3 linked regions of the Drosophila melanogaster genome follow. The protein of the gene in region 2 interacts with the protein of the main gene of each other region in a pairwise test. Each region holds a gene or a part of one and is shown on either strand. Other genes may lie near its edges.

What was found.
Region 1: the proteins of CG4360 (region 2) and CG31642 interact in a two-hybrid assay, tested with the Drosophila melanogaster proteins (one large-scale study listed by BioGRID).
Region 3: the proteins of CG4360 (region 2) and vvl interact in a two-hybrid assay, tested with the Drosophila melanogaster proteins (one large-scale study listed by BioGRID).

The regions. Positions count from the first base shown.
Region 1 is NT_033779.5:6,116,420-6,120,173, reverse strand, and holds the start of CG31642 (uncharacterized protein), read right to left. Parts: upstream 1,663-3,754; 5' UTR 1,606-1,662; intron 1,545-1,605; 5' UTR 1,417-1,544; coding exon 1-1,416.
Region 2 is NT_033777.3:20,326,166-20,329,919, forward strand, and holds the start of CG4360 (uncharacterized protein), read right to left. Parts: upstream 1,839-3,754; 5' UTR 1,372-1,838; coding exon 708-1,371; intron 634-707; coding exon 151-633; intron 96-150; exon of another isoform or gene 64-95; coding exon of another isoform or gene 53-63; exon of another isoform or gene 1-52. Other genes in the region: Sirt2 (sirtuin 2), read left to right, coding at 2,424-2,508, 2,564-2,655, 2,712-2,808, 2,864-3,750.
Region 3 is NT_037436.4:6,788,151-6,791,904, reverse strand, and holds the start of vvl (ventral veins lacking), read right to left. Parts: upstream 1,748-3,754; 5' UTR 1,080-1,747; coding exon 1-1,079. UniProt on the Drosophila melanogaster protein: Binds to a DNA sequence element required for the expression of the dopa decarboxylase gene (Ddc) in specific dopaminergic neurons. Could also play an early role in specific ectodermal cells, and a subsequent role in the embryonic nervous system.

The sequences.
Region 1 (3,754 bases), on a different chromosome or scaffold from region 2:
CGAGCTGGTGGAAGCGGATGGGAGTTCAGTTGCCTTGCTTTCGGCAGTTGGTTCGGTCTGATAACCAATCCAAGTTTTGTACTCGGCGAGACCCCTGTAGAAGCGTTCCATCAATTCCTTGGTCTTAACAGGATACAGCAATAGTTTCCCATTTGATTTTACACTGCCTGATGGCTCGACTGCGTCCAACATGAAATTCGCAGTCCAGGGCAGTCCAATTGGCGGCTGGAACAGCTCTTCGTCTGCCAACATCGAACAGAACATTGCCTCGGTAAAGGTAGCTTTGAGCAATTTGCTTTCCCACTTTTGGCCATTTCCGCTCACCAATTTCGAGCACAAAAAGCGCTTATCCTTGAGTGGGGAAGTAATGACAGTTGACACCTTCTTGGTGGGCTGATCTCCTTGCGTCTTCGTTTGTGCCTTGGCTACCCCAGAGCTGGACCCCGCTTTTCCGCTCCTAGAAGACGAAGCCACCGCCGATTGAAGGGCTATCCCGATAGGCTCTCCAGTACGCCTAGCCGTCTGCCTGCGCACCATTGTTGTCGGCTGGTCAACCAAAACGGGCATGGCAGCACGCATACCCATAGCTAACGCTGTATTAGTACCAGGAGAGATTGCCTCAATGCGGGTCAGCCGATGTAGTGAGGATGATGAGGCGCCCAGACGCTGACGACGATCGGCCATGCTAGTCACAACCTGATCTTCGATGACGCGCACAAAAGACTCAATCGCCTCCATGTCCGGCACTCTGGAACTTCTGTGCTGCATAAGCACAGTTTCAGTCTGCTGCAGTATCTCATAGCAGCGTTCAGGAAAGTCGGCGGCAGTTGAATCCATATTGTCCAGCTGCACAACCATTAGGGCCAGGCTTAATGCGGAATCAAATACCTGCTCGGTCCGCTGTTCGCTTCGCGTGTTGCCACCGGCTACCGGTCGAACGCTTGCTAAATTGCGAGAACGAGTCGAGCGCGTTTGGCTAGAAGGTTGCGGTACTGGCACCTGTTGCTCCATTCCGTTGTCCGCTATATAGAGAGTATTGACCAACGACAAGTAGGCATCGTGGTCACGGTGGTCGCGATGCTCCTGCAGCAGGTGCATGAACAAATGGGCGGTAGAAAGGCCGCGAACATCGCACAGGGCACATTTGTAGCTCTGGGCCACTTTGTGATCACCGCAGAATGGCTCGCCGCCGAAGTACAGCTGGTACTCGGCATAGGCATAGTACACACTCATCGGATGGTAGTAGCGATGCTGAGGCGATGCCGGCAGATGGTTGGCATCGAAGCACTTGCCGCACAAAGTGTATTCCGCGCAGAACCTGCAGGTGTAGCGGCGGCCCTGGAAATCGGATATCTTGCAGTTCTCGCAGCGGTGGCCAAAGTGGCGCTCCGGCGGATTGCGCATCTGGTGGGCCATGGGTGCTTGAAGTGATTCTGGCAATGGAATTCGTGCACGGATGATATTATATACGAATTGTGCGCAGAGAATCGTCGTTGGTGAAGACTCAAAAGTTTGCTGAATTTTGTTTATGATATTAGAGAACCCTATTTAAAATTGAAATGTGAGCGGCCTCGCCAGTGTTTTTTATTCGTTTCAACAACTTACTCTTTTCACAACTTTTCACTTTCAACTGATGAACACCTTTACTCGACAAGAAAAATTATTTGACTAAACTTCTATTGAATATCGAACAAAAAAGTGAGACTGAAAGCTAAACTCCAAAAGGCGCTGCCAACTCGATTCTATCAACAATTGTGAAAATCCCGAAAAAATAGGAGCACGTGCACGACGAGAAGTTTCTATGACGGAGTATATTTCTGTGGCCTTATAAATTACTTACAATTACAATGTACAATTAAGTAGCTATAGAAACAACATGTTTTTGCATAATTTGTAATCTTATGATATCAACGCATAACCCGCCATAATAGATAGCATATACTTCATATACAATAGCTTCGATGAGTTATTTCGTTTACAGTTTCGTTTCTTAAACCCTTTTATTTGTGTTATATTCATATTCGAGTTAAAATGTTCGCATTTGTATTTTTTACGAGTTTGCACATATAATCATTAATTTGCTTGAGATTTAAGATTTTTCCACTTCTTTTTTTGTCGCAAAATTGGAACAACTTAAATAGAACATTCGCCTTTTTTGTTTATACATTGCAATTGGTAGACGGCCATATTTTGATTATGAATTTCCGTTCCACTCTACGCAGGCATTCCCGCACTTTAGGTGAAACTAAAAGCTTTCGTTAAAATAATAAGCATCATTATAATAATGAAAGGCAGCGTAAAATGCATCCACTAACATACATGTGTACCACACGTTGGCCTCAATTACATTTTTGCAAATTACGCGAAATAGAAAGCGAATAGGTGGTACACCTGTGAGTATTTCATTTTTTTATGTATTTCACAGAAGGGTCTTCAAAATTAATCAAATGAAAAGAGCCGTTGACATTTGACGGTTTTAATTAAAAATCTAGAGCCATTTCAATAGAAATTATGGCTCGCGTTAAAGGTCTGGTTAAATAGAATTTCTAACCACTATGTGATATAAATATATGACCCCTAGACAAAATATTTTGTTGACTAAAAACTGTAGGATAAATAAAAGTTAATCTCACTTGGACTGAAATGCGTAGCTCTTGATGTTTTAAGTGTAATGGCGAAACGAAATTACACTTTAATAATTATGGCACACAGCCGGAAAATGCGGAGCAATGAAAATGGAAAATATGCTCAAAACTAAGAGGACGAAATTTTCACAGGCCCTTAAGAACTTTGTGTCGTCGCCTTTTCTTAATATCCCTAAAAGCATTTTAATTTGCATTTAATTAAATTGTTCGCATGAGTCAGCAGTATGGCTTGAAGAGCGTACGCCAAAGAGTTTTCACCCATTTTCCAATTTAGTCAAAGTAAGTATATTTTCGTTTCCATTGAGGCGGATATGAAAGGTTGTAAATAAACTAAATTATACTTACTATTCAAATGCAAATTAATGGCCACCATTGTAAAAGGCACACGGATGCACAAGTCGACGAATAGAATATTTTATAAAGCACTAATTTTTCGTGTTTCTCTAAAAAAGCTGTTGTCGCGCAGCTATTCGTTGGCCAACTGAAAGTAGTGACTAAAAGTGTGAGGAAGCCGGCAACGGGCCACAAGCGACATAAAAATGTTGGCTACACTCGCACACACACACACACACAATTTGTGCCTGGCCTGCAGGATATGTAGTTTTTTTTTTTATTTGAATCGTGTAGCATAGTTTTCGGTCTGTGCTGCAAAGCCGAAAAACAAACGGCGGCTGTCGCTACCAACGATGCACACATATTGTTGTTGCAACTTTCCGGCGACAGACGACTGCCAAGTGGAGCCCTTGCTCCTCCGACGGCTCCACCGTTCATTCCTCCGTTGGCCCCGCCCGCCGATGGAGCAGTCAATTGGAGGGGACCCTAATTGCTTTCGGTTGCCAGCTGAGCACGACGATATCGCCAGGAGGACGGACCGACCAGCTGATGAGTCAGCCAAAGTAGAACTAAGATGGTAGCATGCGGTTTTCGCAGAAATTTTATTTGAGTTTGAGTTTTGCTATTTCTTTTGTATGTATATGTATATGTACCGCCCAAACATTATGTTTTCATGAGAAAGATGGCAAATATTGAAAATAACGAACTACCGAAGCAATTCATTAAGCGCCGTCAAAAAGAATGTTGCAAAAATGAAAAGTATTTCCGACCAAATC
Region 2 (3,754 bases):
GTACGGAGTTGGATTGTTGGATGATTTGTTGAAGTTAGCATGCGTACAAGATTTAAATAAAAGCTTCGTTAGGGAAGAGCGTTAATAATCAATGCACACATGGATAACAGAAAGCGGCTCATTGGTAGGGCGAACACACAAGCGGCTCACCTGTGGCTGTGACGGCGCCTCCGCCGCCTCCTGCTCCACCGACGCCTCCAGGCGCTATCTGATGCGTGTGCGTCTTGAGGTGGTTGGTAAGGGTGCTCTGCTGGCGGAACTGCATGTGGCAGTAGGAACACGTGTACGGCTTGTCGCCCGTGTGGATCTTCTTGTGGTTGGCCAGCGTCGCCAGCTGGCTAAAGGACTTGTCACACGTTTCGCACTTGTACGGCTTAGGATCGATGTGGGTCCGCTCGTGGTTGTGCAGCGTGCTCAGCTGCGGGAAGCGGCGCTTGCAAACGCTACACTGGAACGGCTTCACCAGCTCCTCGGCCGCCGGCGAGCTGTAGCTGCCGGAATACAAGGTCTTTGAGATTTGGACGCGCTGATGCTGCTGCTGGTAGGCCTGGTGCATCTGGGACTTTCGGTGTTTGCCACTGCCCGTCTGCGGCTGATAGTTCAACAGGGAAGTTGGCGTGCTGGACTCCGCCGCTGTTGCCCGTAAGCGAAGCGAGAAATAGAGTTAGGTCATAAGGTCTATTGGGACGATGCGACCACACACTCACCCTTGTGCGTCTTGATGTGATTGATCAAGGTGCTCTGCTGGCGAAAGTCCTTGGCGCAGATGTTGCAGGTGAACGGCTTTTCTCCGGTGTGGATTTTCACGTGGTTGGTTAGCGTCGAGATCTGGCGGAAGGCCTTGTCGCAGTGTTTGCACTTGTAGGGCCGCTCGTCCGTGTGGATCTTCATGTGGTTGCGTAACGTGGTCAGCTGCCGGAACTTGTTCTTGCACACGTGGCACTGTTTCTTCTTGCGCGGATCGTCCACCACCACCTCCTCCTCGCTAATCACGCTCTGCACCTCCTGTTTCATAGGAGAAATGGGCGTGTGGCTGCCCCCGCCTCCTCCGCCACTGTTCGCTGTTGTAGTGGATATGTCCAGCAAATGGACCAGCGGGTGCTGTGGATGGAGCATGGCTTGGTGGGTAGGGTGCTGGATGGCCTGCACGGCGGTGAGTTGATGCAGCGCAAAGGGACTCTGTTGCAGGCTGGCCAGTGTGGTGGGCTGCTGCTGTCCCGAGTTGGGACCCGGTCCAGATCCACCATTACTCCCTCCTCCACCGCCACCGCCACCTCCTCCTCCGCCGCCACCGCCATGGGAGGCTGGCAGTTGGTAGTGCTGATAGTTGGCCATGGCTGCCGTGGCGGCTGTCGCATGGTTCAGATGCATGATATTCGAGAGATATGATCCTAGCGTGGATCTACAGTCTGCCCATCGGCGGCGTTACACAATGGCGGCCACCGACGACCCTCGGCCATTCCCCGCCCCCGCAGTTGCTTCCACTGCGCCGCTCCTTTTGGGGCCTTTTTTGATTTGTTATTTCAGTCGTCTGGTTTGCACTTCTGTGTACTTTTGCTGCGCTGCTGCTGCTTCTTCTTCTTCTCTTCTTCAACACGCTGCTTACGCTTCCACGTAGCGATTGGGAGGGCCTGAATCCGCGGCCACTTTGTCGCGCACTTCCCCACGATCAGTTTCCACCGTTTTCGCTCGCTTTTGGGGCGCTTTCTCCGCCGTTTCTGCAGTTTTTCCAGGCCACGCTCTTTTTGTATCCGTATCCTTATCAAAACAAAAATGACTGGCGTGGTTTTCCAGGGCTGAGCGAACGGGCAGAGCTGCACCCCCGCCGAACATCGAGTAATCGACTATCGGCCGGCCAGGGCTGGTGGCGCTAGAGAGCCTAACACTGGGTGGGTCGATAACAGCTATCGATTATTTGGACACTCCGTGCTGACAATTCAGCTGATTTTAACCTTTCAATTAGTTTATATTCAGATATCAACAAAGTGTAATTGTTATTTTATCTATACTCGATTTTGTAACTTTGCGCCCTTCTTAGCTTTAGTTATTCTATTATTCGGTTCCTTTTTGTTTAATGAGTCATAATATGTTCTAACCGTTACAAACACATATTTATTTGCGACCCTTAATAAATCGCTGTTAAATAAAAATCTTTCATTGATAGGCTACTTAAAGTAATTATAATATTTTGGTTTGCTCGCACAAATTTGATTTTAAAATCTAAATCAATAAGCAATGAAATTAAAATTCTAGCTTTTTAATAGCTGTTAGAGATAACTTATTCGTTAGCCTAAACCTATCGATAGTTGTCAGAACTTGTTTTGCTTTTTACGTTAAAACAAAACGCAACATAAACAATTGGGAGAATTCATCACACTATCCTCAGATTTACATACTTTCACCGGAAGGTGAATCTGTTTACCATGGGCGACATCGAAGTAAAGAAGGAGGAACAACCGACGACGCCCTCCAATTCCTCGTCCAGTGACGACGACGAGGAGGCCCCAGGCTAGTCTAAATAGTTAGGTCTTTACTGTCACTCATTAATTGAATTGAATTCTAGACGACACAATGGATAAGGTTCGACGCTTCTTTGCAAACACTCTACATCTCGGCGGCTCCTCGGACGCAAAGGAGGAAGTTAAAGTAGAGAAGGTGAGCGGAGCACCCGATAATTTGATTATCATATTGATTAAATCGCAAATTTGCAGGTTATTCCAGATTTGAGTTTTGACGGCTTTGCCGAACATTGGCGTGTGCATGGTTTCCGCAAGATTGTGACCATGGTGGGAGCCGGCATATCTACATGTTGGTACATTCTATATACCATTGTAAAAACTTACTAAGTTATCGCCATTCCTAGCTGCTGGCATTCCGGATTTCAGATCCCCAGGTTCCGGGTTATACAGCAATCTGAAGAAGTACGAGCTGCCACATCCTACGGCCATATTCGATCTGGACTACTTCGAAAAGAATCCAGCGCCGTTTTTTGCACTGGCCAAGGAACTTTACCCTGGATCCTTCATTCCCACGCCGGCCCACTACTTTATCCGTTTGCTTAACGACAAGGGACTACTGCAGCGCCACTACACCCAGAACATAGACACGCTAGACCGGCTTACTGGCCTGCCCGAGGACAAGATCATTGAGGCCCATGGCAGCTTCCACACCAACCACTGCATTAAGTGCCGCAAGGAGTACGACATGGACTGGATGAAGGCGGAGATCTTCGCCGATCGTCTGCCCAAATGCCAAAAGTGCCAAGGCGTTGTTAAACCAGACATTGTTTTCTTTGGCGAAAACTTGCCAAAGAGATTTTACTCCAGTCCTGAAGAGGATTTCCAGGATTGCGATCTGCTGATCATCATGGGCACATCGTTGGAAGTGCAACCGTTTGCTTCACTGGTGTGGAGACCAGGACCACGTTGCATTCGCCTCTTGATCAATCGCGATGCAGTGGGTCAGGCCAGCTGTGTGCTCTTTATGGATCCCAACACGCGATCGCTACTCTTCGATAAGCCCAATAACACTAGGGATGTGGCCTTTCTGGGCGACTGTGATGCTGGCGTAATGGCTCTGGCCAAAGCCTTGGGCTGGGACCAAGAGCTGCAGCAGCTAATTACAAGTGAAAGGAAGAAACTGAGCGGCAGCCAGAATAGTGAGGAGCTGCAACAAGGCAAAGAGAAACCGCAATCGGACCCGGATAAGATGACTTCGGGCGATAGGGACAAGAAGGATGCTTCGCTTTAGACCC
Region 3 (3,754 bases), on a different chromosome or scaffold from region 2:
TTCTCCTTCTGCCGCCGATTGCAGAACCACACGCGTACCACCTCCTTCTCCAGCTGCAAGGAGTCGGCCAACGAGGTTATCTCCTGGGCGGATGGCTTCGGCTGCTTGTGGAAGTGCTGCTCCAGTGCCCCCTTCACGCTCACCTCGATGCTGGTGCGTTTCTTGCGCTTACGCCCCTGAGCGGCGATCTTGTCAATGGACGTGGGTGAACCCGTTGTGGAGTCCGCCTCCTCCAGCCACTTCTGCAGCAGCGGCTTCAGCTTGCACATGTTCTTGAAGCTCAGCTGCAGTGCCTCGAATCTGCAGATGGTCGTCTGGGAGAACACATTGCCATAGAGAGTGCCCAGTGCCAGGCCCACATCGGCCTGGGTAAAGCCCAGCTTGATTCGGCGCTGCTTGAACTGCTTGGCAAAGGCCTCCAGATCATCGGACGTGGGAGTGTCCTCCTCGCCGCCGCTTATGGCATCCCGATCGCCGCCGCCCATGTGATGGTGTATGTGCAGCTGTGGCGATTCCCCGCGCAGCGTATGATGCAGTGGCGCCACACTCTGATGATGGGCCGCTGCAACCGCATGGGCCGGATGATGGAGCATTCCGTTCATGGCATGATGGTACTGCAACGGTGACCCGCCCGTTGGCGCATAGTGTCCCGCATGGGGGGCATGCCAGGCGGCATGGGGCGAGGCCATGCCCTGTTGGATGCGCGTCTGCTGCGAGAGATGCGACATCTCCTGCTTGACGGTATCAGCGGCCGAGGCAACGGCAGCGGCGGCGGGCAGATGGTGCGTATGATGGGTTTGCATCCACGGATCCGGATGGAGGGCACTCCATGAGCCCAACCCGGAACCGGAACCCAATCCAAGTCCGCCACCATTGCCCTGGCCATTGGGCGATGGCGACGAGGGCAACTGATGGTGGGCAGCTGCCGCGGCAGCGGCATGATGATGATGATGGTGCTGCATGTACTTCATTTCACCGGCATCAGCCGCCGAGCGCGGCGACGAGGTGTGATAGCCACCGCCTCCGAGGGCCATGTCCAGATCACCGCTCGGCGGCGTCATGTACGAGGTCGCGGCCATCCCCACCGCTCTGGGGCTGTTCAGGCCCTCCACGCTGGCGGGGTAGGGCTCCAAGTTGGGGCTCAGTTTAACGACTTTGTACACCGATCGATCGAAAGGAAGACCAGGGTCCCTATGCTCATTCCACTCGAACCGTGAGGCAACCGTCTTGACGTCTTTTACGGGCAACGTGGCAGGCGCAAAAATATTCTATTTCGCTTATTTTGTTTTTTTTTGGGTTCGACGTTTGCTTTTTTGGGGGCGTGGCCCTCGAACGCGTTCAACAAGTTTATTTCAGCTTTGGGTTAAGTAAAAAATCCGACGGCAATTTGCTTGGGGTTTCACGTTTATTTAGCTTGACTAGCGTTGAGCTAACTGCGTTTTATTTGGTTATTTATTTAGATTTTTTTATTTTCGAATTTCATTTAGCACTTCTAACACTTGGCACTTTTTGTGGCGATTTTTCGCAACGATTTAAATCATCGATAGAACTCAGTGGTCAGAACGCAGAACTCTGATATTCAGATACAGATTGAGATTTCTCGAATGTGTGTTTCTACTGGGTTGCTTGACCGATTCGATGCCGATTGAGATTTGAGATTGTGTGTTGTGAGATTTGAGCAGTCAAGACAGCCGAGAGCCCAGGGAAAATTCACGTGCAGACTCGTAGAGCTATCGAAGTGAACTAACGTCATGTCTCGCACCGCAGCTCTACGTTGAGCGCTCTCGACGCTCGGCGGTACGTCACACCGATACGTTTACGCACACCAACGAGCGCAGTACGCACACACACCCCGGCGAGCGAAACCAGTTTGTCCGCTGGCCTTCCAGCGTTCCATGTGTGCGAGCAGCACCGCCATTGGTGCGGCAAGCGAGATAGACGCTCTACCGAGCAACTGGAAGGGAGACTTGCGCTCTATTGGGCTCGCTGTATTCCAGCGTTACGCCCCCAAAACCAACAAAAACAAAAAAAATATATGAGATGAAAAAATAATACCAGAGCCGGCTCTACGAAGTTCCCTCAGTGCATTCCCATGCAGAGTGACATTTTTAATTGCCCAGTGCCCAGTGCGAGCGAGAGAGGGCGAGAGATGATATGAACGGCGACGGCGCATCTCTCGATTTCTTCGAGTCCAGCTATCGGGAACACAGGGATTACACGTAGTGCCATCTCCCAGTTGGAGCTTTTGCGTCCAGGACTTCTCTCTCCCGTTCGGGGAGCTTTGTTTCAGTTCCTTGCAGCTCCTTGGCCAGACAACTTTTCCCTTGGCTTTGTGAGTGTGTGTGTTTGTTTGGGAGGGGGGACATCTGGAGTGGTTGCCATTGCGATTTGAAGAACATATTACTAACGTGGCGTAGAAAAGGAATTAAACAAATAAACAGTTTAAATATTTAACTATTTATCGTTCATCCAAAAAAGTGTGCATAGTAAAAATATTTAAGAGCAAATAATATTTGATTATCAATATGAAAAATAAATAAATCTTGAACTTGAATTTGGACAATTCAAATTTCGCTGAATTCTGTTGAAAATATTTTTTATATAGACCGTGTCCCATTAAATATTTAACCAATGTGTTATATAAGAAAATCTTATTTGTATTTTTTCAGTTTATAATATGTGTGAGTGAAGCTTAATTAAATTAAAGAAAGTAAATTAGTGTTTAGTATGAAATGATATTTAAAATTTTCGTTTAAAAAAATAACCATTTTACCGATGAATATTTTATAATTTTCTTTTTCATATGCATATAAGTTTCGTTTGGCTGCCTACATAAAATATACCTTTCTTTTCCACCTTGATATCTTTCTTTTGCTCATTGTGTTTGTGACTGTGTTTTGACTGCTTTACAGTTAAATTATGTTTCACTGACAAAAGATATTGATTCACTTCATCCGTCAGTTTCATTGATTCTATGATCAGTTTTGCGAAATTAATGCGAAACTAGCGATACATTTGCATAGCTAAAGGAATTGCCATCGTTAAAGTTATCATTGGAATACTGACTTTTGTTTCTGGCTGTGCAGTTTTAAAGTTTTTTGATTTAGCGGAGCGTTATGGGACAATGCGAAGAATCAAATGAAAAATATCCGTAAAAGTTTATGTTTCCTAAAACAATGAATGAATGAAACTCTGCACACAATCAATGGAAATCTATTTCGCCTTCAAAGCCAATTGCCGTCAAATGTATATATGCAGACATAAAATAGCTTATTTAACCAAATTTACCTTTCTAAAAAAAAAATTACTTATTATTTTCCCACTATTTCCCTTAAATATGTCAACATATATTCAGAATTTTCCCACTTAAAAAATATATTTAATTAATGCATAAAATGTTCAAAGCTACCCTCTCATATATTTTCTCATTTAATAAATCCTGGCACACATAACTAGCCCAAGAATCCCATAAACACCCACCACAAAATACTTAGCATAGTTTTAGACCCCTTTGAGGCAGGTCAAGAGCTCAATCAAAAAATTATGCAAACTAAGGTCATCCAGCCGAGCAGACGCAAGCCAGACAAGTTCGAGCGTATTTGCATGAAATTTGTTTACGTTTTTTTTTCCATGACCATATCCTTTGGCCACGCACTTGGGCATAATTAATAAGCCAAGCGTTTCCAACCCAAAAACCCCAGTGACAAAATAAAGTCACAGTCATTGTTGGTCCTTAGACAAAAATTTACATGAT